Caenorhabditis elegans: one gene and its partner. The protein of the gene in region 1 purifies or fractionates together with the protein of each later gene. This does not show direct contact. Each region holds a gene or a part of one and is shown in the gene's direction. Other genes may lie near its edges. The genes, in order: cid-1 and ego-1.

Region 1 (16,813 bases):
AAAACCTCTGGCTTTTTAGCAGAATTCCGTCTCCAATAATCACGAACATTATTTGATGTGTAATTTGATAATGATGATAAGCTCGGAGTAATCGGACGACTAACACTGTCATCGGGTGTCGGTGAGATAAATTCTTTGCTCCTAGAGTCAGAAATAACTGATACATCGTCTGGTGTGTCTGGATTGTCGTTGAGAAAGATCAACTAAAGTTTGATAATTTATTATAATAGAATTATTCGAATACTAATACCTCATTCTGAAATCGTCTTGCTTCTTGCAATTGCTTATTTGGTGTCTTGACTACTTTCTCGAAAAGAACGTCTGGTTCCTCATCATCCTGTTGTACTTCAAATGACTTTTCCAAATTTTTTGGCGACTTTGGGGAAGATGATAAGGTGAGCACTAAATCTCCTTGAACTTCTTGTTTTTCTTCGTCATTCCGAATTTCAACGTTTTTTTGAACATGTTTCTCAATGATAACTTCATTTTCCTCTGATCCAGCATTGGCTCTCACAGGTGCATCTTCGTTCAGAAAAATCATATATTTCTTGTTCTGTAACAACTGTGGTCATGTTTAGTTAGGGGGGGGGGGGGGGGGGTTTATATACCGTATATTCTCTATTAGTGCTGCATCTCCAGTAGTACTGCAGTCTCTAATAGTGCTGCATTCAAAAAGGGTCCGAAAAATAGTGCTGCAGTCTCTATTAGTGCTGCACCCCATTTTCTATTGAAAGAGTCACTTGACAGTTTCGATATTTTTGGGTATTTTTTTGTATATTTTATGATTTTTTGATAATTTAGGAAAGTAATTGAATTATTGGGTCTTTTTTTTACAAAAGTTCGCAATTTTTATGAATTTCTGCTTAAAATATGAGGTTTTGTGATTAAAAACTAGTGATCTATAATTGAAAATAGCCGTTCGAAAATTAATGCTGCAGTCTCCAGTAGTACTGCAGTCTCTAATAGTGCTGCATTAAAAAAGGGCCTGGAAATTAGTGCTGCATGCAGCACTAATAGAGAATATACGGTATTTGCTGAACTTAACTCCGAAAGTTAATTTATTCTCAAAATATACCTCAGCAACTCTCCTCGTCGTTCCTTCCACTATAATTTCATCATCCTCTTGAACTTGAACTTCGCCCGAAACTTCAGTTTTCTCCTTTTCTCCCGAATTACTGCTTACGAACATTCCGAAGAAGGTATTGAAAAGCCCTGAAATGTTGAAGATCGCTATTTCAAATTTATACTTTTATGGATCAAGGAAAAGGATTCACTCACCACCCAATCCTTGAGATTTCGTTTTTCTGGTTCTTTTTGTTGGCGACTGCTCTTTTTCTTCGTTTGTAACAGCTTGATCGGTTAACCAATGTCGTTTTCTTGCTAAATATTTTAATTAATTTCAGCTTATTTTTCATTCACTTCTCCTACATTGAGAGTCTTTGTCTGATAAATCAGACCTACGTGACATTCCGTTTCTCTTTCAATCGAATATCGTCTATTTTTGATGTTCCAGATTCAAGTAGCTATCCTGAAATATAGTTTTTAGCTGCTTTAAAAGATTTTTGCTATAGTAAATACTATCACAAAGGGCAACATTTTAAGTTTTTCAGCCAAAATAAAGAAGGCAATTAACCTCTAGGCAGTACGTAATCATTCAATTATTGCATAAATTACTTTTAATAAAAGAATAGATGAATGGGATAGAAGCGGAGGAGATTGGCTGCAGATCATTTTTGAATGAAATGAATAAAATTTGGGGAATCTGGAGAAAAGTTGAACTGTTAAAAAGATAAATGTGAACAAAATAAAATCCAATAGATAAAAATAGAAAGAGATCTCACCACAGGAAGACAGCCAATCAACTCTTTTTTTTTTGTTGATTCACAGTGAAAAGGAGAATTTTTGGAATCGATAATATATGGTAACGAGAGATGGAGAAAGAATAATAGTTTGTCAGCTTTTCTATAGATGGGAATATTTTCAACTTGACTGAACAATCCGGAATACAAAAAAAACAAGGAAACGAAACGGGAAAAATGTGGTGAAATTTTGAATAACTTAGTAATAAATGGTAATAAAAACAATTAGAAAGAGAATACTCGGAGACTCTTATCCAATGAACACGTCACCAATGAACGAGCATTTTCTCCGAATCTAACTCCAGTGACTGGTCCAGAATGATCAGAAAGTGATACAACTTCACTCCAGCTCTTCACATGCAAAACTTGAACTTTTTGGCCACCAATTCCTAGGAATGTTCCAGTCATGTCGAAGGACAGGGAGTTGATCTGAAAAAATTATATTTTTTCATTAAACATTTGCTTAACAATTTCTTACCGGTTGTTTCTCTTCGTTAGCGAAAGTTTTCAGATTCTTCAATTTTCTAAGATCCCATAATTTGACCTCTCCATCCTCTGATCCCGTAGCCAAATAATATCCGTTTTCAGAAAACGCAATCGAACGAACGGCAGCAGTATGTCCCGGGAATGCAGCAGCCACGGTTTGATTCTTCAAATCCCAAATCTTCACAACGGCATCCGCAGCTCCAGTTCCAAAAATAAGACCATCAGGATGGAACTCGATGGAATGAACGGCAATTTGTGATCCTGGTTCAACTGAAACCTTGCAAAGCGATTTTCCGGAACGAATGTCGGAGAATGCCCAGTAAGAATCATCAGAAGCGGAGAGAATGTAATCACCGGATGCATTGAGGGAGATATCTGTAAAACATTGTTTGTTCAATAGAAGAATTACAGCTAGCGAATTTTTTTCAAATATCTCACCTGTAACGGGTGCCTGATGGACATCAATAATAGCCTTCGAAGACGAATCAGTTGCACTCCAGACTCTAATATGTGAATCAGCAGAAGCAGAGATTGCAGTAATATTATCCGGATGCAAAACAACTGCGTTGATCTTCTTGTTATGCCCCTTGAATGTTTGCATAACCTGTTCCTTTTCATAGTCATACAAGACAACGGTTTTATCAATTCCTCCGGTAAGTGACAAATTTCCCTTGATATCCAATGCAGTAATTCCAGGAGTTCCAGTCGAATGAATTCCAGTGTGAGATGCTGTCTGTTTCAGCTCGGCGAGCTCTTCTGTTTTGGCAAGTCCTTCAGGAAGATTTTTTCCTCGTTGTTTACGTTCAGCAGTCAGACTCTTTGATTTCTCTTCAAGTTTTGCCAGAATTGCCTCACTAAGACCTTGTTGATCTTCAGACTCGTCAATGCTGACATCATCGTCAACTTTCGCCGATGTGTGTGGTTTCAAAGTAGACAATGCTTCTCTAGCAGCGGTCAATTCTTTGGAGAGGCGGGAAATAACACGACAAGCGGCATCGTGTTGGTACAGAGAGTGAGAAAGTTCTTGACGAGCAATTTGGAGTTGTTGTCGGAGAGAGAAGCTGTTGAGCATTACTGTATCCCACTCGTCTTGAAGCATTTTTAGTAGAGATGGGATGGATGTTCCAGAGACATTGCGTGGTGCTGATCCAGTGCCGCCACTTTTCAATGAAACGAGCTAAAAAATGAATTTTAGAAATTATTATTTTGTTTTTTCAATGAATTATCATTTCGAAGTTTCACGTCAGTGAAGATAATTGCAAGGTTGACAAACCTGGTCTTCAGAAAGCTCTCCATGGCTGATCGGATCTGTTCCGTTTTCGGCAATGAATTTAACGATCAGCCGACGATCAAAGATGTGCCCTGAGACTTGAGAGACGACTGGGTCTTCGGTCAGTTCACCACTGATTCCGCACACGAAAGACATCTCCTGAAAGTAGCAAAATATACACGAAACCGCTTGATTGACGTGGGACATAAACGAAGAAAGTTTCAATGCGAATTTTGTAGGATAATTACATTTATCGAACGAGTGGTCAATAAATACGTACTCTGGCTAGTGACTAATCGAACGGCGCATTGGATCAAATGTTTTAAACTTGTCTTTAAAAGAAAATCTAGAATTTTAACCAGTTTTTCATGAAAAAATGCAAGTTTTCAAGTCAAAGGAATTCGAGACACCACGGTTTCAAGATCTGATGGGATCCCGGATCTACGTTTTCCGGATCTACCATTTCCGGATCTACGTTTTCCGGATCTACGTTTTCCGGATCTGGCACCGTGCCAACGCACAAAACGCTTTTCAACGCACGACTTTTTTCGAAATTTTCTTCTAGAAGAAACGCTTAAGAACACGCGACGCGTAACATCGCAGCGTCGTTGTCACTTTTTTCTTCGAAAAAATAGCGTTTTAAGAGTTGGCACGGTGCCAGATCCGGAAAACGTAGATCCGGAAAACGTAGATCCGGATATGGTAGATCCGGAAAACGGAGAATCCCACCAGATCTTGAAACCGTGGTGTCTCAGGAATTCCATGCAATGAGAATTCGAAAAACTGCAGTGGAGCGTACTTGCTGCAGCTTTTCCGGGCGGGGCCGAAGAAATGTCGGCCATGAGACTGGGGAATAAAAACGATTTGAAAAAATAATTTGGATTTGAATTTTCTTCCCAAAAAATGCAAATCGGGGAATATGAGCTCACTTTCATCGATGTTGCGGTGTTTGTGGTGTTTCTCGTGGCTTTGAATAAAATTGTTAAAAGGATGCTTGTTGCAAAAATCAATGAGCCAGCGAAATATGAGGTAATTTGCAAATAAATCTTGGGATGTGAATTTTTGTTTCTCAGATCGAACAGCTCGAAGAGCGTGATATGACAATGGAAGAAATCGAAAGCATGCGCCGCGAGGAGAACAGGTGCCTGGTCATTGTGGAAGACAAAGTAATAAAATACTTTTCGGATTATCAAAAAAATAAGTTTATTTCAGATTTACGACCTCTCTGGCTCACAAGATCTCTATGACAACAACCGCGATCTTTTCGAGAGTAGTGAAGGATGTGGACCTGAATGGGCACCGATTTGTGCTAGGAAATATCCATTCGTCGGACACGTTTTGAAGAATTAATTAAAATCTCAGCGGGAGTTTGATCAAATTTCGGGTTGTTTAAGTTGTGTCAGTTACATCGTGTTTTTTTGTTGTTAAATAAAACGGTTATTTTTTTTCATACATTGCTTTTTACATCTCTTATTATTATAGGCTGAAACAACCTTCATTTTACTTTTGCCCGTTTTTTAGATGACTTTGATTCAAAAAACCACGTTTACAGATCAAGTATGGCTTTGATGTACCCATTCCACGTAGCACAACCTCCACTCAACTGGTCCGAGCACTTGTGGGTTTCCGAAGTCTCACCAGCAAAAGAGTCATTCATCACCACGATTTGTGAGCACCGTCAAGCTCAATGGGTACGTTTTTATTTCAAAATCACACTTTTCTGAAAAAGTACATTGTTGTTCATTCTAAATTTATTGCAGGATAATCAAGATCTTCTGCGTCACTTGCAAGACAGTGTGGCTATTCTGACTCGTGAAGATCAACGTCATGTGAACGCTGTCCATGCAGCAGCAAATATGCCTGCAAATCCTTGAATTCCCTATTCTACACCATATTTATCTGTAAATAAAACTCGATTTGGCATACCATTTTTTTTAATTATGGAATTCATTTCCGAGGTACTGACCTCGTTATTACCTAATTTAATATTTTGTTCTCAAATTATTCCAGATTTTATTCAATCGCTTCTTTTCAGTTTCATTGGGAAAGACGAACCGAATAATAGGTATTAATATTGTACTGTAATTATTAAAAAGAGTTGTGAGATGACCGATGAGCAAAGGTCTGGAAGTAGGCGGAGAGGAGGAGCCCTTGGAGGTGGAAGGGGAGGAAATAGCCAGAATAGTGGTGAGTTCATGACTAATCATTTTTAAAAATTCATACAATGAAGTATATTAGGCCCTTCGTATTGCTTAAAGATTGAGGTTTTACTGTTCTTAGTATTCAAAAATACCGTTGATTCACTCTCTACTATAACTTTTTCCTTATCAATCCTGAAGTTATTGAACAGTTTTAGCAGAAACGCCACTTTTATTTATTTATCAACTTTCTTATCAAACAAAGTGAAAACTTTATAGCAATTTTCGAACAGAGTGTTCTTCATTTTTTCTTAATTTTCATATTGAACTAACATTGAACTTACAGGCCGGAAAAGATCATCAAACAGTCCAGCTGATTCGGCTTCCTCCTCCCAAAAGACGAGCAGAAATCCATCGCAAAATCGTCCTCCAATGAACATCGTTCCTCAAAAAGTCACAATTCTGAAACGAAATCAGGATTCTCAGCCAACATCTCCAATAAATCGGAATGCGCCACCAGGACCCTTGGTTGCCGCTGTACAACCATTGATGGCTGTTGAATTGGGCGATTCGGGAGCTTCATTGAAAGGATGGAATTCAAATCCTACTACTCCAGAGAAAACAACGATTAATGTTGCTGGACGACAAGCAGAAGCCAACAAAAAACAGACGCAAGAGTATTATTTCTCCAAAAATGCCGGGTCAGCCGTGTCGGCTCAAACATTTCAAGAGACTGTCCAGTATCCAATGAGCTCATTTCCGTTGGAAAAGAATGTACCTATTCAAATTGATAACAATTTTACGGTTAGTTGTGAATAAAAAATTAAAATCATTCGCTGTATTCCAATAGAACAAAATTCGTACTTTAAACTTTAAAATAGCAAAAAAATGTATGAAATTAATTTTTAAAAGTCAAGTTTTTAGCTGTTGATTACTCCAACTACGAGCAAGTGCAATGGACTATTCATCAAAGTAAAATTACAACATGGAGATGACAATATCACAACTGGAGCTCTGTTGAAATTGGATGCAGATGAAAAGACGATCAGAAAATCTTGCAGGGAAACTATTGAGAATCTCTTGAAAGGTTTGAACTGAGTTTTCCGATTTCATTTCACTGTTTCTCAACAGTTTCAGCAAAGTCTTCATCCGACAGATTTCCATTCTCAAAGTGTTCTGAGGGATTTCTGACTTCTTGTTTGATCAAGAAACTTGTCGATCGTCTAGAAGCGTTCCCAGAGGCCATATACTATTGCGAAAAGTGCGATTATCATATTAATACAATCGGACACGCAAAAGCACACTTAGAGAGCAGTACACATTTTGATGATGTTAAGCGACAGGAACAACGGGAGCATCTTTTGAAAATTATTCCACCTCCGACTGAAGCACATTTAGAGAGTGTTGAAAAAGTTTTGGAAGGAACATTGAAATCGTATCAACAGGTTAGATTATCTTGAAACTGGATTGGAAAAAAACGAAATTAACGGAGGATAAATTGTGATTTTTCTCTAAAAAGCTGAAATTCAGAAATAAAATTTCGTTTTTTCTATCCGGTTTCGATCATTTTTCTCTCAACTAACCCTTCTCTCGTCAAGTATTTTCAGGTTCGTCAAAATGGAATCGAGATCGGTGAAACAATCATCTATTACTTGAGTACTACAGTATTCCCATCGATTGGATTGCAAGATGTGATACTTCGACCATTTGGATCTGTAACATATGACGTCACACTTCCGGATAGTGATTACAATGTGGCATATACTATGTCAATTCCTGAAGGAACTCCAATATTTGCATTACTTGAACAAGTTCGAAAGAAGATTGCCGATGATGGACATCCAGCTGATCATTCCATGGAAATGGGAACACCGTCAACAATTATATTTACATTCAAAGGAGTTCGAGTTAAACTTTGTTGGATGTCATGTTTCAATCATCGTATACAACTTCATTTTTCTGAATTGATGAAGACCTATGTAAATTTACGAGAGGAAGTTGCTCAATTTCTTCAACTTATTCGTCTTTGGGCAACGAAAGCTGGCCTTGACTCCAAAAATAAGCCTAGAATCGGACTTCCTCGATATGGATTTGATATAATGGCCATTCATTTTCTTCAGCAGATCGGATGCCTTCCAGTACTTCATGAACTTTTTGAAGCAGGTCCAGAAACTGAGAAAATTGAAGAAATGAGTGCTGAAAAGACAGCAAAACTTCAATCGGAAGAAGCTGGGCAACGTAGAATGAGATTGATGTCTCGATATGAGAAGAATACTGAAAAGATTGGTACGAAGTTCGACTTGAAGAAATCTTGGAATCTAGCTGAGCTCTTCATTGGCTTCTTTCGGTATTATGTTGAACGACATCGGGACGTAGTCATCCAAATTACACAGCTTATTCCAATGAGTCGAGATGTGAGCCGTTGGAATAAAAAGATTCTTCATGTTGTTGATCCATTCCGTGGTGACAATGTTCTTTCAATACCAAAGGTTTCTACTTGGCAACCATTCTTTTTCAATTGTCTCCTAACATCATTTGTATCGTTTTCGATTCCAAGAACCAAGAATGGACCATTAATTGAAGTTTCGTTTGTTCATAATGTAAGTTTGGTTTCTTTTTTGTTTGATGTTTTTATATCTATTATTCCAGAAAACTATCAAACCTGGAAAAAAGTTCAAGGATACTCCAAAAAAGGCAACGGTGGAGGCACCCATTCCATTGACTCAAATAATGGAAGAACATTATCAAGAACCTGTATATGAGATTGTAAATGATAAAGATCATCTAAAATATATGAAAGAGCTCAAGGAACGTCTGATGATTGATGGAATCTTAGTGAATGAACGAAAACCAATTGATTATCACACTGATGATCATCGAGAATGTGTTTATGGTAGAAATTCACTTTTGCGATTCAAGAGAGTTCTCAAACCAGGACTAAATGGAAAAATGGCAGCATCAATGGATGGATTGAGTTTTGTGACGAAAAAAGGAAAGAAATTCATCAATCGGTGGAAGAAGGCGAACGTCATCATTTTATCGGAAGATTCTTCTGAAATAGACGAAAAGACGAAAGCAGCTGATAGTAATGTGTCCGAAATTGCAGAAAAATTGGAGGAAACCCTCAAGATTTCTTCTCAAAAGAATATTGACGTTGCAGTAACATCCATGCCTGTTTCCACGGTAATTTCAGATTTTGAAATTTTAATTAATCACTGACAAGTAACTTTTGATTTTTTTAAACTAATTTTTACTCAATTTTTAGGAAATCAAGCCGGAACCCATCACGAAATTATCAAATGAAGCACCAGTGAAGATAAAAAATGTTGCTCAACCTCAATGTGATCTCATAGAAGCACCACAAGAATCTCTAATGAATGAATCTATGATGGAATCCAGTTTCGATGAAACTGAATCTCCAATGAAAACTCCAATTGTTCAGAAACCTGTGAAACAAAATGCGACATTTGGGAAATCTACGATATCCACAGTAATCCCCGATAAGCAATTCTGCAGTGAAGAGTTTTTCATTAAATTGAATTCGAATTTGAAGGATATTGTATCCAAATCGAAAAGTCTAAAACCATCAGATTTTCATTATGAATTCTCAACTGATCTTTTCTGTGGAGACTTTGAAATGGAAATGAAATGTACACATTGTGATGGTAGTCATTGTGTTGAAAACTGCCCGATGATGGAAATTCCACCGATTAAAAAATATCAAGCAAGAACTCCCGAAGATTTGAAAGATATTGATGATATGATTGATAAATATTATCATGAGAATATTCTTGATGAACGACGGCTCAAAATGTTGGATCACAAGATTGATGAACTTCAATCATTTTTAAGGAAAAACTATCGTGAAGATGTCACTCTTACAACATTTGGAAGTGTTATGACAGGATTAAGTGTCAATTGTTCAGATATTGATATTTGTTTGAGATTCGGAGATGGAGATGTTCCGCCAAAGGATTTGACAGCAAAAGAAGTTATTCAGAAAACTGAATCCGTTCTCAGAAAATGTCATTTGGTAAAGAGAGTTCAAGCAATTGTCACTGCAAAAGTGCCAATTGTCAAGTTTCAAGTGAAACTTTCCAATGGAGCAATTATTGATGTCGAGTAAGTTTAGAAGATTTAATTTTTCAAAATGAACAGAATTTTTAAAATATAAAATCTCGAAAAAATTTTGACTCGTAGTTATAGTGTTTAGTTGAAAAAGAATCATAGTCAATAACTGTAAAATCCCAAAAAAAAAACAATGTACACTACTCCAAGGGCACGTGGTGTCAGGCTGTCCCATTTTGGTTTGATCTACGTAGATCTACAAAAAATGCGGGAGAAGAGACGCAGAGTTCTCAACTGGTTTCGCATGGTTAAGAACCTGCTGACGTCACATTTTTTTGGGGAAAAAATTGCCGCATTTTTTGTAGGTCAAACCGTAATGGGACAGCCTGACACCACGTGCAAGGGGAGTACACGAGCTGCGTAAATCGACACGAGACCATCTCAGAGGTTTACGATTTTCACATATATAAGAGTTTAGAAAAAAATTGATTTTTTAACTACTAGGAATATAGAAAATAAGTGGATGAAAGATAATTGTCATTATCTGAAATTATTCTAAATTTCAGTATCTCCTACTACAATATATTGGCAATCTACAACACAGCTCTTCTGAAAGAATATTCATTGTGGACGCCTGACAAACGTTTTGCTAAATTGGCTCTCTTTGTGAAGACTGTAGCTAGTTTTTCTTATTCTTTTGAAAATTTCATCCTCTAATTTCCAGTGGGCCAAAAATTGTGAAATCGGAGATGCATCACGTGGATCATTGAGCTCATATTGTCACGTCATCATGCTCATTTCTTATCTTCAAAACTGTGATCCACCGGTTCTTCCACGCCTTCAAGAAGATTTTCGAAGTGATAATCGGGAAAGACGACTCGTTGACAACTGGGATACGTCATTTGCTCAAGTTGAGACCAGTTTGCTACAACGTTGGCCTAAAAACAAAGAATCGTGTGCTCAGCTGCTCATTGGATACTTTGACTATTATTCGCGTTTTGATTTCCGGAATTTTGTTGTTCAATGTCGACGGGAAATGATATTGTCGAAAATGGAAAAAGAGTGGCCGAGACCTCTTTGTGTAGAGGATCCATTCGATTTGAGCCATAATCTGAGCAGCGGTGTTAACAAGAAAAGTATGTTGCCAATTGATTTATATCAGATGTTCAGATGTTCAGAATCAGATGATGTATATTAGTTTAAAAAAATGTTCAATCTTCCTGTTTGAATTTCCTCCAAAATGAGAACTGCACGACAAATCAGCGCCTTCGAACTCCACCCATTCCGTCTGATTGGTTCAAAAGTGGGCGGAGCGAGTCGCTAATTAATCGTAGTTCTCATTTTTAAGGAAGTTCAAAAGTAATCTTATAAAATTATTAAGTCTTGTTTTTAAAGTTAGATTTTTATTCCTGACTTTTAGACATTTTTGAGCATTTCAAAATGAAACTGATATTTTTGTTTTTTCAGTGTTCGTATTCATTATGAAAGTGTTCATCAACTCACGAGCAGTCTTCATGTCTGAGAAACCACCGATGAATCGAGATCACACTTTCCTATCATCATATCAACACCAGTTACTTCGAAAATGCAATCAAGGATCCGCTCCAACTGATCGTCAATGTCATCAATGTCATAGGATAGGACATTTTGTAGAATCGTGTCCGCAAAGAGCCCTGGCGTATGTTAAAGCAGAAGTAGAATTTTATTAATGAACAATTTTCAGAAAAGAAGCCCGGAAGCGATTTGGATCAAACTCGACAAACTCATCATACCGATCAAATGATAGTGGAAGAGGATTCAAAAATGGAGAGGAAGGTGGCGATCGTCTGACTTATCACAAAAGGGTATTAATTAATATTTTTTTAAGTTTAACACTCTTGTTGGCTTTTATTCAGCAAGTTTCTACGTTCATAACATAAAAATATTTTCAGACATACTATCATCGCTCGTACAACAAATAAATTCTCTCCACCCATTCACTTCACACAACAAACTGGATTTTCACCCCCACGAAAACTATTCTGAATGTGTATACATACGTATATATCCAGAAGAATATTCTAGTTCTATTTCCCCATTCCCCCACTATAATCATCTTTATAATTTTTTTCTTGCTTTCATCGTTCCCCTAGTTAATCATTTATCATGTGCCTTCCAGCGTTCTTCCCTACTCCCAAAATGTTTTAGGATCCGTGTTTTTTTTTGTTTTTCTTTTTTCAAATTCTCTGAATTATAATTTAAAAAGAATCTTCCTAAATCTAGGAATCACATTTGAGTTGTTGTACTTTTTCTGTTCGTTTTCTGTTGTGTTATTTGTGATCCAAACAATTCTGCACCATTAACGGGTCCATTTTGGACACTATCACCAACAGTCTTCCCACCCAATTTTTTTTTCATAATGAAACTTTCCCCATGATTTTTTTGTCTCAAAAGTCCCTAAAAATCCAGTTGCCAACGTCTCTCCACATCCCACTCTTTCTTTTTTTTTTCACTTTCGCATAGTAAAGCAACAAGACATTAGGAAACCGTGAGAGGGTCTAGAAAGTGTACGAAACAATCGGGAGCCCGGGCACCCGGGGATGAATGTGTTTACTCGGCAAAATTGTGTGAGAGAAGCAACCGATCAGTTTTCTTCTGATGTCTACGTCTCGAATGCTCTCGATTTTTCGCCCATTCAGTCTCTAATCACTTTTCTTGGATCATGTTCGTGCTGTACAAGTTGGCATGTTTCGTTATCAACTGTTTGATTCCCTGATTACAAAAAAATTCACCATTGGCTGCCAAGGACAACTAAATTCTGTTTTTATCTGGGAAAAACTTCACTAAATTCTAATTCAACACTGTTCAGAAAATTGTTAATTCGTAAAAATTTACCACCATTTTACGATTTTTTAAATTGAATAATACGTTTATGAACGTGTATATCTTAAACTCTACAGATAAGCCTGAATTTACTATAAATATTAAAACTTTTATAAAACTTCTAGCAGCCAGTTTCAAGTTTTTGCGAACAGACGATGAATTAATTTTTTAATGCATTTGAGGAAAAGTATCTCATTATTTTTTATGCAATATTTCAAAATGTTGGCCAATAATTTGAAAATTAAATTAAATTATCGTTTCCAGCTTTGATCAAGCGAGTTTAAGCTCAATTAAATGTTAATTTCGAGGAAGTTATTATCTTTTTTGAATTTAGCGGCGGAGAAATTCGCGATGGAGCGCATTTCCACCTTCTACTTTTTAATGAATTTTTTACCGGTTTTTTCTATTTTGATCATCGCGCGAATGTTTTTCTCGTTTTTGTATTGAAAATTGTTTGACTTCTCAAACGAAATAATACTTTTCGTTGTAATTTCCGTTGAATTCGAAAGAAACTGCTGAACACTGCAATGGGTTACGTCATTTCCCGCAATGAGGTGCGTTTCCTCTCAGTGCGCAAACTGCAAGAGAGACCAGACAACAAATAGATCAAAACGTGCCGTCCGGACTTGTAGACGATCTTGACCAAAATGCGCCAAATTCTTTTTTCTGTCAAAGTAAACCAATACACATGTGTTTTTCTTCTCCTGTGTCTCCTGCTCGTTCGTTGCGTTTTGATCTGTTCGTTTTTTACAGTTTTCTCTTATTTTTCAACTTCGTTTTGTTCATTTCCACAACTCATTTTCTTCTCTTCTTCTTTTGGATCGGACTGTTCATGTTCGTTTTCTGGTTTTCTCTCGTTTCCTCGACCACCTCTCAGCGCAGAATGGTCTCTCATTGGGCCTGTCGACAGTCTCTTTTTCTCTACGCCCTCTTGATCTGACACACTCTCTTGCCGGTCTTCTCATATTTTCCGCCCGAATTTCCCTCATTTTCACATCCTAAAAATGCCGAGTTTCGATTGAATTTGATTCAGATAGATCTCTTTTCAAGCAAAAAAATTCATCGACGTTTTGACATTGCTTTTTTCGTTAACAAAAACCAAAACTTTTCTGATTTTATCGCCGCCGATCAGCCGTTTTCTTTCAAGGCGGCAGGTGCATTTCTGGTTTGATTAAAAATATGAGGAAATCAATGTTATTCATGTTTTCTCATATTCTTCTCTCTTGAAATCACTAAAAACATTAAATGACCCTCTATTATTGACTTTTCAAACCCTTTCTGCTCTGAAAGAGACTGTTTGCTCTTCGAATCGATTTTATTTTCGTGATTTTCATCGCAGCCCTATTTTTTAGTCATGAATTTTTGAATTTTGGCCTAAAATTTTGTGAAAAAGTTTAGTCTCGGAATATTTCCCATCTTTTGAGAGAACGGTATTAGATTTTGAGTGCAAAGAGTTTTTCTGTTTTTTATAACACTGACACTAGCGAAAACGATGCTCTTTAATCCTTGATCGCTACTTTGCGGCACTCAAATATTTTATCAATCAAGTCGATATTTTCCACTAAATTAAAAAGTTCACTCTAGATGGACTCGCCAAAAAATTTAATGGACACGCAAAATATTAGTATCCAAGGGCTCATTCTCAGCTTTTGATTGGCCGATTCAGATTGACTCAAACCTAAAATTCTTTCCTATTCCCTTTTATAAAGTTGATAAGAATTCAAAAACATTCACACTTCTATGTCGTTCTCCGTGTTTTTCGTTTTTCTCCATCAGAACACCACTCATAACTATTATTTTTGATGTGTTCCAAACGTTCAGCCTGCAGAGACGTTTTCTCCTATTTTTGCGCCGAAATTGCATTGTTTTGTGTGCAAAGTAGGTGTCATTTGGTGCGCAGGTGTGTGTAGAACTCGAGAAAGAGGTTAATTGTCAGTGTGTACCACGTCATTTTATTCTAGGATAATATATGTAAATCATGAGCTATATTTGGTTTTTTTCTTGAATTGAGCACGTTGGCGTGTTACACTTCTAAAGTTTTGTGGTTCGTATACGGTTTCGAATTTCACCTTCTTCCTGTTTTCTCTTTTTATCTGATAAGACACAGCGAGTTGTTTGTTGTTTATTGGTTGGCTGGTTCCGCAGTCAATACTAACTGTGTGTTCTTTTTCACAATCTCTCTCGTTAGGCGTTCCCCCGATGAAAAGTATTGTTGTTTGATTTATATAGTAGTTTTCAAGTTTTCTTTTTTTTTAATTTGAATTTATTACAACAGTGAAATTGTTCATCTAGATTAAGAGGCTCTAGATTTTATTGTAAATATGAATTCAAGATTCAAGCAAATCTTGTTTTTTTAAATGCATTCAAGCGTTAGTTATCCAGAAATAATCTAATACAAAGAGTTTCATTCTGAAAAAGGAAAATACGAGAAATACTACCGTGTCGAACTTTAGAATGTTTTATCTAAATAGTCAAGATTTAGAATATTCTTTTTAAAACCGGATTTGAAGATCTTGATGTTCATATCTATCACTACTCTTCATGCCACTCGTCATCTATTATTTAGCCCAAGAGAGCATGATGTCGATACGGGATGACAGATGTTCCCGCCGTGGTTGCATTAAGACCAGACATGCACACATGCACAGAAGGCGTAAATACTTTATCGCACTCGTTCTCCTTCCCTCTCATTCTCTCATTCTTCCCGCTCTTTTTCTGTTTTTTCTAATGGTAGACGCACCACGTGTGCAGGCATGCTGTCCCTATTCTCCTTTGTATTCAATTTTCCTATTTTTCAACGTGTTCGTCTTCTGGGAGTTCTCATAAAGCTGCAAAATATTGCAAGTTTTGAGGAAATTCGTTTCCTTTCGAGTTGAAATGTTTTCAGTTCAGATTTGTAAATCTACTTTCAATGACAGAATTTTCTGTGTTATAATAACAATTTCTCGTTGTCTATAGAGCTGCGGTTTTCTTTCCCAATTTCGTCAGAATAATATGAGGTTGTCATGGAGTGCTGTTGTACAGCGTCAACTTGCCAAATTCTAGAATGTTATATTTATGTTATTGGTTTCGGAAAATAATGCCCTCTGGTTCCACTTAATTTCGAAGAGAATACTGATAATTATTAGTTCTTCCCGTGACGAATTGGTAATTACGTCTCCGTTTTCTTATAATTCAGACCACACAAGTAGTTTTGGAAGTTTCTCTAAGAAAAGGCTACGTGACGATGATGTTTTCTGAAAATGCTATGAATAGTATAATCCACATTTTTCATCTGGCAAGATTTATCTTAAAACATAAATATACTCCAGTTTATCATATAACTTTCAAATGGCCTAATCTATATTTCACTGGTTTTTGAAATATTCTTCGGTAAACTTTTGGTATTTTGGATTTTGGATTTGGTAAATGGTAAAAGTGTCACATTATATTTGCATTGATGTTTCGTCACTACATCCTTGATGTTTTTAGGCGTTAGTAAATGGAATGGAATGAAAGATTAAGAAGTAGGTCATTGTTTCTATAATGGATTAATCTAACAAAGAGCAGAAGGTTTTTCTTTTTTTGCAACGCTTTTTTGACTTCTGAAAAGCAAGAATTAAGAAAATATATACTTTTAATTCCCTATATCCCAGTTTTAGCGAAATTATCGATTCTGGAATATTATCCAGTTCGTATGAAGTTTTCTCACAAAAATTGTTATAATAACCAAGCGATCTGTGAGTAATATGAGTTGTTGATATGTTAGGAATATCCAGATCGAGAAGACTCATGCATAGTGAATCATACACGTCTTTCTCTATTTTTTCTTACTTTTGGTCTTCTTTTCTTCACAGTTGTTGACTTTGTCGTCATTCCTAAATTGGAATAAAGTCATTTCTTTTTTAGTGTACGAGAACGACAAAGACAAGCATTGGCTCATAGTCAGCAGGAAGCGTTTCACTTTCACTTTTTTCATTTTATATGGTAGATGGCATCCCGGATAGGTGATTGAAAAGACAGATGCCAGCTCTAGTTTTGGTTTCCGAGCCATCATGTTAGTCAGACTGTCCTTTTTCTCTTGGGATCTCTAGGGGATGTCCTCGGAGAGCCCTTTTCTGTTGGAATTATTTTAAAAAGTTGTACTTTAC
Region 2 (16,745 bases), on another chromosome or scaffold:
AGCATGAATCTTTGTTCCCAAACAAAACAAATATCAACTGACGTGTGGTAAACTGTTGTTAGATTGTCTAGACTTTGATAGACTTTGATTGGACGTTGAACAGCAAAAATTCTTCTAAAATTGTCAACTACTAAATTATGATGCCCTGGAATTCACACAAATCACCTACTTAAAATCAGCAATTTTGAAAAGAGTAATAAAAAGTATTAATTAAAACAAACTCCAATTTCCGTCGGCTGCGACAAGCACAAGTTAGCAAAATGTGGCCCATAAAAAGTTTTTTAGAATATTTCAAAAGGTCTTATTATGAAATTTGATCGTTCAGGTCAGTTTTCGTCTATTTAAAAAACTCGGAACTGTTACTCATCATTAAAATGGAAATTAGGAAATTCTCTCCATCATTGGTTAATTATGAATCATGCTATAATTTCGGCCGGGCGTGAATTGCGCCCCCGTGAAATATCCACAATCCAACTCAAAAAGCACTTCCACTATTCGTTGCCATTGTATAATGCCAAATCTTCGCCGAGAAGAATTCTCGGCCAATTTTTTAAAAGTTCCAATTTTTTCCAAAATTGCTATTAGTATCAGTAATGATCAATGAACCCCTTATTGCGTACTGCGTACTGCAGAATAACAAAAAAAGCATTCAAAAACCAATTGCCCGATTTCCGGTGCGTACGTCTCTCCACCAAAATCCGCTGTGCTCTCATCCAATCTCCCAGTCATTCTCTTCTTCACATGCTGTCCACATGTTCATTCTTTTTTCTTTTTGCGCGCCCAGGCTTCATCCTCCTCCTCCTCATTCTTTTTTCCTTTTTCTCTGCGCAAACAGGCTCCGCCCATTTTTCTTCCGTGTTCAAGTGTCGCAATTCATTGAAAGCAATGAATCAGTCAACGAACCATCCAGTGAAATGGAGCATATTTCCCTCTAAACACCATTTTTTTACTTTTTTTTATTTGTTATCAGTTTAAGCATTATTTGACGTCAAGTGTCCCTTAAAGTTTATGCGAGGTCTCTTGAACTTTATGATAAGAGTGATGTGCTTGAAAAGGGTAATGCCCATTTTTGTGGTAAACTTGAACTTTAGAAATCTAGAGCCAAAACATTTAGATCCGCCAAGGGATTTTAGCCGTAGGCAGGCACATCTTTAGGCGTGTGCGCCTGCCTTTTGCCTCTTTTCTGCAACTTTCAGTAAACTTTTTGTAGGCACTGTGCATTTGCAAGTCGCCTTAAAAGCAAAAAAAGCAACAGTTATTGAGACTATAGAACCAGGATTTGTGGACATACCGTGCATTCTCTATTAGTGCTGCACCTCATTGCTCAACACGATGGTATTTAGGAAAAAAAACTTTGAGTTTTTGCAGGTTGACAATTTTTGCCAGATCTAAAAATAACCTTTCGCATTTTGCTAAAAGGTGCATTTACTGCAAAAATCAACTCTCCTTTTTAATTCCGCGAAAAAGTGTGTTATCAGCTGAATTGAATCCAATAACCCACCCTTTCTTATCAAAATAAAGACAGTACCGTAACCTTTGGGTACAGTATCATCTGTCATTTTCCACACCTTTCATCATCATCATCATCACACTCTCGACGCCTACAATCTCTTGTTTCAACCCATGAAAACCAGATTTATCAACGCCTTCTTTTTTTGGAGTGACTGATGCAGTGGTTATTGTTGTGGAACTTCTTCTTTTCATTCTGAACACGCCATCTGTGTTCCCATTGATTAAATGTTGTATCAACGTGTCAATCAATTACTTCTTCAAATCAACACGATCTTTTTGTCTTTTTTGTTTCTTATCCATTCTCTTTTGAGATCAGTTCAAACCACCAAGTTCTTTTTGGTTCTTCCTCCTCAATGTGTACTCAACTCTGGCCAGAACTTTCGAACTTTGAGAAATAGTAGGTAAATCGCGGAGGGTTCTGAGATATAGAGACATTGACTGGCCAAACCACAAGGAACGAGCATTTGTCGGGTGATTTCAAAATATTTTAAACTTTGAATTTCAAACTACGAATAGTACAAACTCAACCCAATTCTTATTTATCTATAGCTTTTATATTCCAGTTATGTCTTAATTCTTTTAATTAAACAGTAGATACTCGGATATGCATTAATGCTTTAAGGTTCTCAAAAATTCCATATTTTTTGGCAAATTTGGCGACTTGTAAAAACTTGGTCTGAAAATTTTTAATATTCTTTTAAAAAATTTTTTTTAGTTTTTTAACCCAATTTCAGTATATTTTGACAAACTATGAATAGAATCTTGACGTTCAGTCGACCATTTCTAATTTCCTGAGTGCGTCTGAATCCATAAATCAGACTCGATGAATCATGAGACATCTCCCTCAAATTCATAATTATATTCTAAACTACAATCACAAGCTTCCGACTATACGATTGTTTTTCTTTGTCTCGGTTTTCTGTTTATAATATTCCAATCAGCTGTTTTGTAGTTGTTCATGAAATTTGAGAAGATGGAAAACAATGTGAAATCAGGAAAAAACAATGGAAATATTCCTCAGAATTTTTTAAACAAGCCTCCGCATATAGTAATTTTGTAAATTTATATATTCGGACTGGTCTTGCCGCGAAAATATTTATCACTCATCCTAATGAGTTCGTGCACCTTTGAGTACAAATATATGAAAATTGCGAAAGTACCAAAACTTTTTCTGAAAAACTCCATTGCCATCTTCTAATTTAGTTATGATCTCTGACGTCTCTCACTCTCTCCAACATTTTCCCATGTTGAATTGAGGTCGACTCACAGTGACATGTGACTGTCTTTCTTTTCATGTGCGTGCGAATTTCGACCATTGCGAAAAAAACTATTCAATTTCTTTCCCATCGCACGTTTTTTTCTAGTTTGGATCAGTTCTCCTATTTCAGAAGTGGGCGGTTGGAACATCTGATTGTGAGAATTATAAACAATTTAACGAAAAAAAAAAAATCATGTGGTAGACTTATTCAAAAGCTTATATTCATTTTGAAGCTAGCAAGATCAAGAGTTTATTGAACAGGAAGATAAGAATATAACGTCAACAAACTATTATTTTTAGTACCCATTTCGGCACGTTTACCATCAAAACAAAAGTGTAAAAAGTGAACTATGTCTCCTGACTCAGAAGCAGTCAGCGCGTGGGTACATGTAGATATGTAGACTAAATGTAGACTAGATGTGCGGTACAGTTTTATGCAATTTTAAAAACTCAAATTTCAATTTTTCGAATTGAGTTGTCAAAGTTCATGAATTCCAATTTATATAGGACTATAGAAAATATTTTATTTCGCGTTTGATTAGTTGAACTGAAATGAACTGACTAGTCTTAATAATTTTTCTATCATCTAAATTCCCATGACACATTTCGATGAATGAATTCTACTAGTTCAATGTCCTTTGTGACTTCCATTTAATTTCAGTTAATTGAACACATGCTTAGATGACGTCCCAACTCTCATGATAGTCGTAACTGGATACCCTTTGCCCCCATTGTTCAATCCCGCCTTTCTTCAAGCTCCACCGAATACACATATCACTGATCAGATGAAAGAACAACTGCTCAGCGGAGAGCTCGTGTGAGCTCTCTCTCTGACTCTCAGACACACTACAGTCGTTGGAACCACGCCTCTTCCCTTGATTTTCTAATCTTCTAATCATTTTTGGTTGTGCTATGTATTCTGTGTTTATTCTATTTTGTCCCAAAACTGGAACTTTCGAAAGTCGTTGATAGTTTTTTCTTGCCTTCTCTCTCAATCGACACGTACAGACAATCACGTGTGTACAAGAGAGAGGCGGGGTCACACAAAAGCACTGAACGACCGAAAGTCAATCAATGTCTATATATTCCTGGTGGGAGTGGTCATCAAAACCATCATAATATTTTGTATTTTATCACTTTTTGGCTCCTCCTCTATGGGAGGACATGCATCCTTTTTGATTCTTGAACAAGTATTTTTCAGTCTTTCATTCTCTTTCTCTCATTCTCTCTGAACTTTATCTTTTTTAATCATTCACTTCCGATAAAACTTTTCTCTCAATCTTCAACAGATGGTTCTTCGATTCGTGAAGATGGGGCCAGGATAGAATCAAAGCAACTAATCAAGGTCATAGAGTATAGAGTCGCAGAGTGTGAGAGGAGAGCCAACAGAGTGAAAATACATGTGAGCGTCACATGCTTCTTCTCAGAAGAATATGTCAGATACATTTTGCAGTGTAGAGGAAGAAGGCGAATACAAATCTCTCCGCGATGATCTTTGTTTTTTTTTCTTTTTTTTCCCCTTCTTTGGGTGCTTCTCCTTTTTGGTTTCTCTTTCTTGATTTTTTATGTCAAATCTTTGGTCAAAGCTCGAAGTGATTTCCTAGGCACACTTTAGGAAAGTAGGTATAGGCCTCATCAGGTAAACTTTTTACCGTACATACTTTCACAACTTTGCAAATTTTGAGTTCAAAATGTTTCCCCAAAAAGGTAAAAACGAAATATAAATATCGTTCCTTCTCCATTATCAATTTTAACCACATGTTTTCTCTTCGTTCTCCTTCCATTTCATTTCATCCGAAACACTTAATTCTCCCAAAGTTCACACTCTTATCACAATCTTCTTATCTCAATACATCTCTCAACATCATTCCCTGTTGTCACGTGCCCCCTCGTTTCAATTTCTTTTTTCTCATTGATAACCTCTTGGTACTCGAATCAAATTTAATATGATTACAGATACACTACAAAATGACACTGTCTTTCCGTGTAAATCCAGAATATGCGGCCATGTCAGAAATCGTTCCGGGATTATTTATCTGTGGAGTTTCTGCGTTGAGCAAAGATGAAATGAAGAAACATAAGATCACACATATCATAAATGCAACAACAGAAGTTCCAAATCTCAGAAGTCTTGGAGACATTCAACGTACAAAACTTTGGCTTGAAGATACTCCACAGACATATATCTATCCACATCTTGAACTTCAATCTGATCAGATTCAAGCACTCATTGCTGATGGGGGAAAAGTTCTCGTGCACTGTGTCGCCGGAGTGTCACGTTCTGCTTCCATCTGTTTGGCTTTCTTGCTCAAATATCGGTATGTCATCTTGTTTTAGTTAGAACCAAAAATAGTCCAGAAACTCAGTGCTTTCCCCTATTATAAATTCTATTGGACATGTGCTTTCATGTGATATCATAAGTATCCAATAAATGGGAAGAGAGCACGTGCCGGAAAACAAAAACTAATGAATCTGATGTTTTCCCATGAACTAAAATAGAATGCACATATTGATTTTTGATCTATTTCCAGTTGCCGAAATCTTCGTGAAGCTTATCATTTGATGAAATCAAAGCGTTCAATGGTTCGTCCAAATCTTGGTTTCTGGCGCCAACTTATTGCTTATGAACAGGTATGTAACTGAAAGTTAAAGACATAAACACTCAAAATCTAGTTTGATCATTCTTATTTTCTTATCATTAGGTCCAAAGTTTATAATTTGTATCTTACAGAACGTCAAAGAAAATGCTGGTTCTGTTCGATTGGTGAGAGATGAAGCTCAACCAGAACAATTACTTCCCGATGTTTATCTTAATATTGCAATTCCAGCTAGACCAGCTGTAAGTTTACAAATCATATTTCAAACTACAGAAATTGACCCTTTTAATTTTCAGAGCCCGGAGCAAGATCCAAATATGATCCCAGATGAGCCACGAGAACGCCGAAATTCTGGATTCAAATCTAAATTCCGTCCAGTGCTTGAACCTGTGATGGAAATGGCTGAAGCTGTTTGCTGATTATCATTATTTTCCATATTTCATATCATATTTTCTTGTTTTTTTTCTGTTTTCCTCCCTTTCCACCTCCCACCATGCACACCAATTAGGCGCAATTACCACTTTTTTTCCCTGAAACGGGTCAGTGCTTTAGTTGTTCAATTTCAATTTCTTTTCAAATGTTATTCTATTCCTCTCTCAATTATATCAGAAATACGGGTCGAAATCTGTAGTTTCCGGTGCCATGTAAATAAATTTTGAGATTTATTAATTTTATCTTCATGTTGCGAATTTCCATTCAAACACAAGTTCTCGTAAAATAATCATTAGAAAAATTGGAGATGCAGATTATTTAAAAACTATTCGGACTTTGGACTAATAAAAATACAAAAAAATCGAATTCCTCGTCCCGACTAAAAATTAACTTGTGAAAGTTTTTTCTCCCATTTTTGCCAAAAAAACCAAAGCCCAAAAGACAACAGCCCTTGTCTCACCGCGACAACGAAATTTTTGAACTATAACGCGTGCCACTTTTTTCTTATTTGTTTCTCGCTCATAGCTAAAAACTGCGAAGAAGAAGGTTAATAATTCGAAATTCGATTTCAAAATGCCGCTGCCTTCAAAGGAGCTTAAATCGTTGTGAACTACAAGTCTCGCAACGAACAGGGCAGATACGATAGCGCGCCAGAAACGTTTTTCGAATTTGAATCAATTTTCATCCCAAATGCCCAAATATTTCTGTTTTCTCATTTATTTTATATGATTCATGATGCTTTAGTCTAGTGAAACGTAATTTTAAAAAATCGAATATTTTTAACGCTGCAATTCTAACCAGAAAATCTCTTTTTTTATCTAAAAATTTAAAATCCGTGTAACCATGGTCTAAAATGTTGAAATTGTAATATTTTTCTTACAGACCATCTACCTCAAAACGATTTTAGCCTAAGATATATCAAAAATTATCCCGAATCCTCGCAACAATGGGGGACGAAGGTTATCGTGGATGGATTAAACTCGAAATTCCCTGTTCTCTGCCAGAGCGGCAAATGGGACCCATAGTTAAATGCCATGTAGCAAAATTAGAGCCAGTAAGTTAGACAATGTGTTCATCAATCATTTTTTTTGTTTTAGGCATTGAATGAATACAACATCAAGGTTTTGACAAAAGGACAGGTTCAGGTTGTCGAAGAGCAAGATTGTGAGCCGTTTTATGAAACAAATTATGAAGTTGCGACCAGCAGGTTTTCACATGATCTAATTGCGGCGATCCAGACATATTTAAAAGATTTATCAACGGTTTGTTGCTGTCGAAACTTTCTATCGTATTCGTACTTTTCCAGGATCATCTTATGCCATTCCAACGTGGAAATCTCGTTCTTCACAGTTCCGATTTTTGGTCTTCCGAATTGACATGTCATTTGGTTGATATTCCGCTTGCCGCTGTTTTCTTTGGAAATATTCAAGGCGGAACATTCATTAATCATTGGGAAGTGTCTTTCTGGGATGACGTTAGACGTCGGAAGTCGGCAAGAACGAGGAATACTGAACCAACACAAGCCGATAAAATTGGAATGAACCAAATCAAAGTGGAGTTCGAATTCGATAAAATTGATTTTATGACAGTTCACTTCAAGCACTTTGAAAATGATTTTGAGGTTGCTGATAAAGATGCGAAGAGGACCAAACAAACAGTTACCATGTATTACCAGATTACAGTATGTTTTCAATAGAATTGGGAATAAAAATCATAACAAAAACTTTCAGGTTAGGAGAACTTCTATTCGTCGGATTATTGTTGATCCTGTCGTTCAAGATTGTAATGGTTCGGATCGGATTCGTGTACATTTCGAACTTAATTGTCCTGTTCTCATTAGAAGAGCCTACCGAACGGCAAAACAGGAATCGGTGAGCACACCCAAGCCGTAAACCATGAAATTTCGCGATTATGAAATATCGAAATAAGATGTTAATTACAATTTTCAGGAAAATCGGCACTCCGTCCCACATTATCGAAGATATTTGGTGATCAATCGTGGACGAAGCGCGAATCAGTATCCAACAGCTAAAGCAATAACGGATAGTCCTGTGTTCACAATCGAGTTTGATCAATCTGTTGGGGTAATAATTCAATATGCATCAAGTTTTTACGTGTAATTATTCCAGCTCAATGAAATCTACCGCTTACTTTCAAGACTTCGCATCCGTACTGGAGTTTCCATTGAATTCGCGGACATTCCTTCGATTGACTGTCTCATTTGGAGAGAGAATCCTTATAACCGTTGGACATTCCTAAATAATCAACATCTGTCGCCCACTCATTTCTCTGCGCCTATTTACAGAGATTTCATCACGACCGCATTTCCAAAGAAACATGAAGTATGTGGCTCTCGAGAAGTTGACACCAACAGGGAAAGAAAATTCGCCATCACTTATCTCCTGGAATGTCTGATTTCGAGAGGAGCAGTGGTTAAGGATCAAATTTTGCTTGATGAAGGAATATGGCACCGATTCCTTGAAGTGATTCTCCACTACTACACGAAAGATGACAAACTTTGTGAGGCCGGACTTGAGGATTTGGTTCACATGATCGATGGTAGAAAACGAATTGGATCATTGATCAAGTGTTTCGATAGAATTTGTCAAACGAGACAGAGAAACAGTCTGGTTAATGGATTAACAACTGAAGAAATGAGAGAGGGATATCAAAGAGTTCGAAAGATTATTTTCACACCGACTCGTGTTATCTATGTGGCACCGGAGACGTTGATGGGAAATCGAGTACTGCGACGATACGACCATGATGGAACAAGAGTTCTAAGAATCACTTTCCGAGATGATGATAATCAGAAAATGCGAACGAATAAAACTTCGACTATGCTTGAAAAAACCGTCAATCAATATCTCAAAAATGGAATTACTGTTGCTGGTCGTAATTTCGGCTATTTAGGAAGCTCGAACTCACAAATGAGAGATAACGGTGCTTACTTCATGGAAAAATATTCATCATCACAGTGCAGAGAATACGAACGGATATATCAAATCAAACCACCAATCACTTTCAATCCAAAGATCCAAGCTGCTCGAAAGAATTTGGGACGATTCGAGACTATTGACAACATTCCAAAAATGATGGCTCGTCTTGGACAGTGTTTTACACAAAGCAGATTGTCAGGAGTGAATTTGGAAAGATGCACGTATATGACAACGTACGATTTGACTGGAGGAAAAAATTTGAAAGGAGATGAATACACGTTTTCTGATGGAGTTGGAATGATGAGTTATCGATTTGCTCAAATGGTCTCAGAAGTTATGGATTTTGGAAAAGGTGTTCCCAGCTGCTTTCAGGTACCATAATCTTTTCTTTGGTGTTTCTTAATAGTTTTTTTCAGTTTCGTTTCCGTGGAATGAAAGGAGTCATCTCAATCGAACCTCTTCTTGACAATCTTCGCCAGTGGTCAATTTCGTATAATATCAGCAAACCGAGCGATGACAGTTCGTGGAGCTTGAACTGTATGTTTCGCCCAAGTCAAATTAAATTTATTTCAAAGAGACACCCACGTGATCAAGTGGAAATCGTCAAGTACTCATCGCCAGTTCCAGTGGCATTAAACAAGCCATTCATCAATATTCTCGATCAAGTTTCGGAAATGCAATCCTTGGAATGTCATCGAAGAGTAACAAATCGAATCGAAGAGTTACTGGACAGACAAATGCTTTCTTTTGCCCAACAAATGGTGGATGAAACTTTTTGCAGAAATCGACTGAAGGTTTGTTATTAAATTACTGATAGTATCCTCATTACTGTTATTATTCAGGAGCTACCTCGTCGCGTAGATATTGACTACTTGAGAACAACATGGGGATTCACATTGTCTAGCGAACCATTTTTCCGATCTCTTATCAAAGCATCGATCAAGTTCTCAATCAGTAAGTTTAAACGAATGAAGCTTTTTAAACAAACCATATTTGTTACAGCCAGACAACTCCGAAAAGAACAAATTCCCATTCCGTGTGATCTCGGACGGTCAATGCTTGGAGTCGTTGACGAGACTGGGCGTCTTCAATATGGTCAAATCTTCGTACAGTATACCAAAAATCTGGCCCTGAAACTTCCACCCAAAAACGCTGCGCGACAAGTTCTTACAGGAACGGTTCTCTTGACCAAAAATCCATGCATTGTTGCCGGAGATGTTCGGATTTTCGAGGCTGTCGATATTCCAGAACTTCATCACATGTGTGATGTAGTAGTATTCCCACAACATGGACCGAGGCCTCATCCTGATGAAATGGCTGGATCTGATTTGGATGGAGATGAATATTCTATCATTTGGGATCAACAGTTGCTTCTGGACAAAAATGAAGATCCATATGATTTCACTTCAGAGAAACAGAAGGCGAGCTTTAAAGAAGATGAAATCGTGAGTTTCGTTTTAACGAGATTACATAAATATATTTAATTCTAGTCGCAATAAATAATATTTTCAGGATGACTTGATGCGTGAGTTCTATGTCAAGTACTTGAAATTGGATTCCGTTGGACAAATCTCGAATAGTCATCTTCACAATTCTGACCAATATGGATTAAACGCAAGAGTTTGCATGGATTTGGCGAAGAAAAATTGTCAAGCTGTGGACTTCACTAAGTCTGGACAACCACCTGATGAACTTGAAAGGAAATGGAGAAAAGATGAAGAAACTGGCGAAATGATTCCACCTGAAAGAGCTGAAAGAGTACCTGATTATCACATGGGAAATGACCATACTCCAATGTATGTCAGTCCAAGATTGTGTGGAAAACTGTTTCGCGAGTTCAAAGCAATTGATGATGTACTCAAAATTTCGGAAGAACGAGACGAGCAAGTGGAGATTTCTATAGATGAAACTATCAAAATTGATGGATATACGGAATATATGGCTAGTGCAAAAAACGATTTAGCAAGATATAATGCTCAGTTGAGAGTGAGTTTTAGGAGAAATAGTTGAAAGATGACCATGTTTTTTCAGTCAATGATGGAAAACTATGGAATCAAAACAGAAGGTGAAGTCTTCTCAGGATGCATTGTTGACATGCGAAACAGAATTTCGGATAAGGATCAAGATGATATGTCATTCTTCAACACAAACCAGATGATCGAGACGAAATTGACAAATTTGTTCAAGAAATACCGAGAGATATTTTTTGAAGTAAAGCTTTCCTAAGCCAGTTACATATGTGTACATGCGTAATTTCAGGAATTCGAAGGCGGCTGGGAAGGTAACACAGAAGCATTCTCTCGTTACGGACGTGATAGTAATATTCTTCAACGACAATGTCGTGCTCCGACAGTGCAGATGATGAAAAAGGCCGTAGCTTGGTACAGAGCTTGCTATGGTTAGTTGGATAACTTGAAATAAAAATAAATACTATTTTAATTTCAGAGGAAGCTCGAATAACTCGAGAAAACAAGAAATTGTCGTTCGCTTGGCTCGCATATGACGTCATCGCAAAAGTGAAACAAGACAAAAGTCTTACAAGTGACGAAGTTAAGATGGGTGGAGCAAATCCATTGTACACAATGCTTGACGACCACAGATCTCAGTATCTTGTCGATAACTCGAGAAAATTCGAAGCTTTTCGACAATTTTCAACACCTAAAACTAGTGGAGAACAAGTGAAACGAGCTCATAGAATCATCAAAATGTACACAGAAACTTATCCAGGATTGGATGCAGTCTTATTCATGTTAGACGAATGGGCACGGATTTCAAATCTATTTGAAAATCAATCACTTCGAGAATATCATTTATCACTGCTATTTATCCTGTTTGCTACAAGGCAATTTTCTTCCGTTGATGGAAATGCTGCCAAGTTCTTCAATAAGGTCGATGAGAAAAGTTACAAGCAGAGTAAAACAATTGGAGACTTTGAGCCCAGTTTATATATTGAGGAAAAAGGAAAAAGTCAGATGGTGAGAAGAATATTTGTGTTATTTTTTTTATAATAATGACTGTTTTCAGATGGTGAAGTTTCTCGAATTTTTGGCCTCGCGAAAGTTCCGAAAAATGGCGAATCTCTCATTCTGTGCTCTTGATTTCTCATCAATTTTCATGCGAGGAGAATGGCAAATTTTCCATTTGGCCGCACTCAAAACCTACTACAACGTGTTATTCAATTTACGATTCGAAGAACTTCCTGTGTCAACTGATCCAACAACTACAGTTCGTTCAATAATTCGAGAAAACGAACCGTTCGTGATTGAATTACCAGCCAATTGTGATCGTTCATTGGTTCATCGCAAGCTGGTAGAGCATACTGGTGTAAAAGAGATATTCATGCGAAACATGGAGAAATCAGTTCGCTCTTCGGATGATGTGCAAAAAATCAATAGTGAGTTAACAAAATCGAATGGTAAACAGATTTAATTTTCAAATTATTATAGTGCGTCTTCTGGTTTCTACACGTGGAACTCTCGAGTCAATGTACAAGTTGCGTCAACTGGTTGCTGTAAAAGTTCCCATCAAAACGTACGTAACGGGACAAGATGTGTCTACACAGATGGCTCGATTGTGCTATGAAAAGATTGTCAGAGGACACATCAACATCTAGAATGTTTCTCTTATTCGTTTTTAGCAGTGTTTTCAGAGATTTTAAATGTTTAATATGGTTTTCATTTTAAATTTTATTTTTCTGTTTTTTTTTTGCATGTTTTAATTGGCATGCTTATTTCTGTTTCTTTTTCTCATTATATTTTCCTGTTGTTTCTTTTGCTGATTGATTGAAATGGATAGGTTTCTCCTTCTTTTCATCGTTTTCAGCGTTTCGGTTATCTGTTTCAATGAATTGTCTGTTTTATTACGAATCCGATATTTGTATTTTATTTGTTATATGCGTTTTTTCGTACATGATTTTCCTATTGGATAGAATATAGCCAGATTTCTTGAAAAATTGAAATGCTGTCGATTTTGTTTGAATTTTGGACCAAACTATCGAACTTTTTTCCTTCTCGACTGAAATCAACATTTTTGAAATGCAGTTGTTTTTGATCAGAAAAATTTTAAAACATTTTAAATATACAACTTTTTAAAGGTGCTCAATTTTCCGAGATGAAATTAAATTTCTTTATTATTAGAAAATAGTTTTAAATGAGTTTCCGTAAATAAAATTACGGAATAATAATCACGATACTTGCTCACTGTTGCATTGTCACCACAGTGTCTTTTTCAGCTGTCTGCGTCTCCGACGGGCAGCGTCTTTTTCAGTGAACCGATTTTTGCATTTCAGCGGGTTGTTAACTTTCAAAAAATGTTTTTGTAAATTTCAAAGTGAAGGTTAATGAGAACCTAATTTATAGTTATTTTTAGTTGTATAACAGTAAAAATTTAAATATCCAATTGATCGATGGCAAATTTAAAAAATCTTTATTTTTGTTTGTCTTCCATAAAACCTTGTTTTTCGTGCGTTGGCCATTAAAATTTATCTGTATAAAATTTTTCAGACTCCTCGTCATGTCGGAACGAAGTCATGGATTCATTAAATTTGAATTTCCGGAATTCGATAACTCGCTTCAAGTCATCGAAGGAAGTATCGATACAATGTTACTGACATTTACTTCAGTGCGTCATGGTTTTGAGAATTTTAATTCATTTTTTGGACATTTTTCGATTAAAAAAATGACGCTTGTTTTAATAATTATTATGATATTTCTAGGTTCTTCGTAAATACGAAATCGAAATCAAATCCCGTCAAGAAACTCAAATTGTTGAAGAACAGGACTGCGATTGCTTCTTTGAAATAAACTTTGAAGTTGAGAGCGAACAGTTTGATCACACAATTATAGATGCTATGCACGATTATTTATCAGATTTGGTGAGTACTTGAATTCATATTGGACGATTTCGAATTAATTTTATTTTCAGAATGTGTACGTTCCGTATCAGCGGCCTAACATTGTCCTTCATGGTTCCGATTTTTGGTTGAGAACTCTCGATTGTCACACAGAGATTCCACTTGCTGCGATTTATTTTGGAAATATACAAGGAGGCACATATTTCAATCATTGGCAGGTTTCATTTTCACGCGAAAACATATCGTCAAGAGATATGTTGCATAAGATACACGCCGAATTTGAATTCGATAAAACTGATATGATAACAGTACAATTTCAATGTTTCGAGGAGAAGAAACAGAAGTTTGAGGATTCGAGGAAACAAAAAGTTCGAGTGAACTATCAATTAACAGTAAGTGTTTAGCTGTAGCTATCAAATCCAATACTGGGAGAATTTCTTAAAATTTAATTAAATTCAAAAATTCAGATTCGAAGGGATTCAATTCGTCGAATTATTGTCGATCCACGAGTTGAAGGATGCAACACATGTGTTCATTTTGAAGTTAATTGTCCCCCACTCATCAGGAAAGGATATATTGATAATGATAAGGTAATTTAATATTGATCACAGATTTTTATAACAATTCTAATTGTTTAGTCATCGTTTCATAAACCCTTCTATGAGCGTCAGAAACGGTTCGATTGTGATTGGAGAAATGGAAATGTTAATCATGGTAATCCACAAGATGCTGCCATCGCAGATAGTCCTTTCTTCACAATTGAGTTCCATAAAGAAATATCAGTGAGCTATTTTCTACTGTTTTATGATAGATTTTGATGATTAAGCATCGTTTTTTATTATTATTATTCTCTAATTCAGACAAAAGAAATGTATCGTGTGTTGTCTCGTCTGAGGTCTCGAACCAAAGTTCTGATTGAATTTGCGAATCTTCCGAGCATTGATGTTCCGATGGGCAGTCACTATCCATACAACCGGTGGAATTTGAAGAAATCGCCGACCGACTCAAATGCGCCCATTTTTAGAGAGTTTCTGAAAGAGGTGAGTTAGTCTTTAAAAAAACAAAGAATTGCCTCAATAATCTGAGTATCAATTTTTGCAGATATTCCCACCGAAATATGAAATAGTAGATGATAAATTGATTGATGTTAATGAGGAACGGAAGTTTTCTATCACATATTTGATTGAATGTCTGTTGTCACGGGGAGCTATTGTGAAAGATCAACTACTACTGAATGAGCAACATTGGAAAAATTTCCTGGAAATTATCATTTGGTACTACAGGAATGATAATCAACTGTGTGAAGCTGCCTTGGAAGATCTCGTTCATTTAATTGATGGTAGAAAGCGAATCGGATCAATTTTGAAGGTTGTGTTTTTTGCATATTTTTTGATAATTTTTTTAAAAATTTTTCAGTGCCTAGATAAAATTTGCCAAAAACGTGAGGTTATGAAACTGGTTAATGGTTTAACAGAAAAGGAGAGCATAGAAGGATATCAACGAGTTCGAAAAGTTATCTTCACACCTACGAGAGTCATCTACATTGCACCAGAGACGATCATGGGAAATCGAGTTCTACGGAAATTCGATAAAGATGGCACCCGGGTGCTTAGAGTAACATTTCGAGATGATAATAATAAGAAAATGAGATCAAATGTTACGGGTAAACTTCTCGACAGGACGGCGAACAAGTATTTGGAGCACGGAGTTCGAATTGCAAATCGTGAATATGGTTTCTTGGGATGCTCAAATTCACAAATGAGAGACAATGGAGCATATTTCATGATGAGATTCACAGACAAGCAGCTTGATCGCTTCTACAAATGTAATCCGACAGCATCGAATATAAACTTCAAGCCGAAAATCGACGAAGTTCGATTTCAATTAGGAAGATTCTCGGAAATTGAAAATGTTCCTAAGTTGATGGCGAGATTGGGTCAATGCTTCACTCAGAGCAGGGTATGTTTTTAATTTTTATTCAGTTTCATGGATTTTTTAGTGATAACTTTCCATCATAATACAAGTATGAATTTCAGCTAACCGGTGTCGGACTTGGACGAGATGATTACTGTAGCACGTACGATTTGACTGGTGGACGAGCGACAAACGGAAGCGAGTATACATTTTCTGACGGAGTTGGAATGATGAGCTATCAATTTGCACAGGAAGTATCCCAAGCGATGCAATTTGGAAAAGCTGTTCCTAGCTGCTTCCAGGTAAATTAATTTCGTGTGAACTTAGGTAACTATAGTTTTTGCAGATTCGATTCCGCGGAAATAAAGGAGTCATCGCTATTGAACCCTTTCTGGATGAAATTCGTAAATGGGCACTTGTGAACGGTGTTACTTCGATGAAAATGGCGAAATGTTTGTTCCGTCCAAGTCAAATTAAATTCCAAGCTAAGGCTATTTCGGGAGACCAAATCGAAATGGTAAAGTTCTCGTCAGCGGTATTGGTTGCTCTCAATAAACCATTCATCAATATTCTTGATCAAGTTTCCGAAATGCAATCGTTGGATTGTCATAAAAGAATTACGAGCAGAATTGAGGAATTGATGGATCGTCAGATCTTGTCATTTGCCAAACAGATGAATGAGGAGACCTTTTGTAGAAACAAATTAAAGGTTTGTCTGAAACATGAAATAATGAAACTTTTTATTTGGAACTCTTTCAGGAGTTTCCACGTCGTATTGATATTGATAACTTGAGAACAATGTGGGGATTTACATTGTCTAGTGAGCCATTCTTCCGTTCCCTAATCAAGGCATCCATCAAGTTCTCAATCAGTGAGTTTTCCGAATTGTTTTCAATTTCTCAATTTTATTATTTTCAGCGAAACAGCTTTGCAAAGAGCAAATTCAAATTCCCAGTGAACTTGGTCGATCTATGCTCGGAGTAGTTGATGAAACTGGACGTTTACAATACGGACAAATCTTCGTTCAATACACGAAAAATTACAAGAAAAAACTTCCACCGCGAGATTCCAACAATAAAGTTCATGGAAGTGAGATTGTCACAGGAACCGTTTTGCTCACTAAAAACCCTTGTATTGTCCCCGGAGATGTTCGGATTTTCGAGGCTGTCGATATTCCAGAACTTCATCACATGTGTGATGTAGTAGTATTCCCACAACATGGACCGAGGCCTCATCCTGAT

Evidence for each region.
Region 2: the proteins of cid-1 (region 1) and ego-1 purify together in Caenorhabditis elegans (affinity purification with western blotting, with the first as the bait; one study listed by BioGRID). This does not show direct contact.

What each region holds. Positions count from the first base shown.
Region 1 is NC_003281.10:5,168,272-5,185,084, forward strand, and holds cid-1 (4Fe-4S ferredoxin-type domain-containing protein), read left to right. Parts: upstream 1-5,650; 5' UTR 5,651-5,720; coding exon 5,721-5,802; intron 5,803-6,099; coding exon 6,100-6,557; intron 6,558-6,677; coding exon 6,678-6,840; intron 6,841-6,890; coding exon 6,891-7,198; intron 7,199-7,360; coding exon 7,361-8,353; intron 8,354-8,402; coding exon 8,403-8,936; intron 8,937-9,018; coding exon 9,019-9,875; intron 9,876-10,387; coding exon 10,388-10,496; intron 10,497-10,545; coding exon 10,546-10,957; intron 10,958-11,288; coding exon 11,289-11,499; intron 11,500-11,544; coding exon 11,545-11,665; intron 11,666-11,752; coding exon 11,753-11,782; 3' UTR 11,783-12,236; downstream 12,237-16,813. Other genes in the region: ulp-1 (Sentrin-specific protease), read right to left, coding at 1-203, 251-553, 1,076-1,212, 1,279-1,380, 1,429-1,468; prp-19 (Pre-mRNA-processing factor 19), read right to left, coding at 2,085-2,288, 2,338-2,720, 2,784-3,522, 3,619-3,771; K10D2.5 (uncharacterized protein), read left to right, coding at 4,519-4,644, 4,689-4,781, 4,828-4,965; Anaphase-promoting complex subunit emb-1, read left to right, coding at 5,175-5,306, 5,376-5,489.
Region 2 is NC_003279.8:7,646,273-7,663,017, reverse strand, and holds ego-1 (RNA-directed RNA polymerase), read left to right. Parts: upstream 1-6,679; 5' UTR 6,680-6,745; coding exon 6,746-6,853; intron 6,854-6,896; coding exon 6,897-7,061; intron 7,062-7,105; coding exon 7,106-7,480; intron 7,481-7,529; coding exon 7,530-7,670; intron 7,671-7,748; coding exon 7,749-7,883; intron 7,884-7,928; coding exon 7,929-9,110; intron 9,111-9,154; coding exon 9,155-9,532; intron 9,533-9,580; coding exon 9,581-9,692; intron 9,693-9,740; coding exon 9,741-10,183; intron 10,184-10,250; coding exon 10,251-10,724; intron 10,725-10,769; coding exon 10,770-10,949; intron 10,950-10,997; coding exon 10,998-11,136; intron 11,137-11,183; coding exon 11,184-11,713; intron 11,714-11,762; coding exon 11,763-12,132; intron 12,133-12,184; coding exon 12,185-12,351; 3' UTR 12,352-12,677; downstream 12,678-16,745. Other genes in the region: F26A3.4 (Protein-tyrosine-phosphatase), read left to right, coding at 4,739-5,088, 5,302-5,401, 5,502-5,609, 5,664-5,786; rrf-1 (RNA-directed RNA polymerase), read left to right, coding at 13,251-13,358, 13,453-13,611, 13,662-13,982, 14,058-14,180, 14,229-14,372, 14,451-14,630, 14,692-14,958, 15,007-15,549 and 4 more.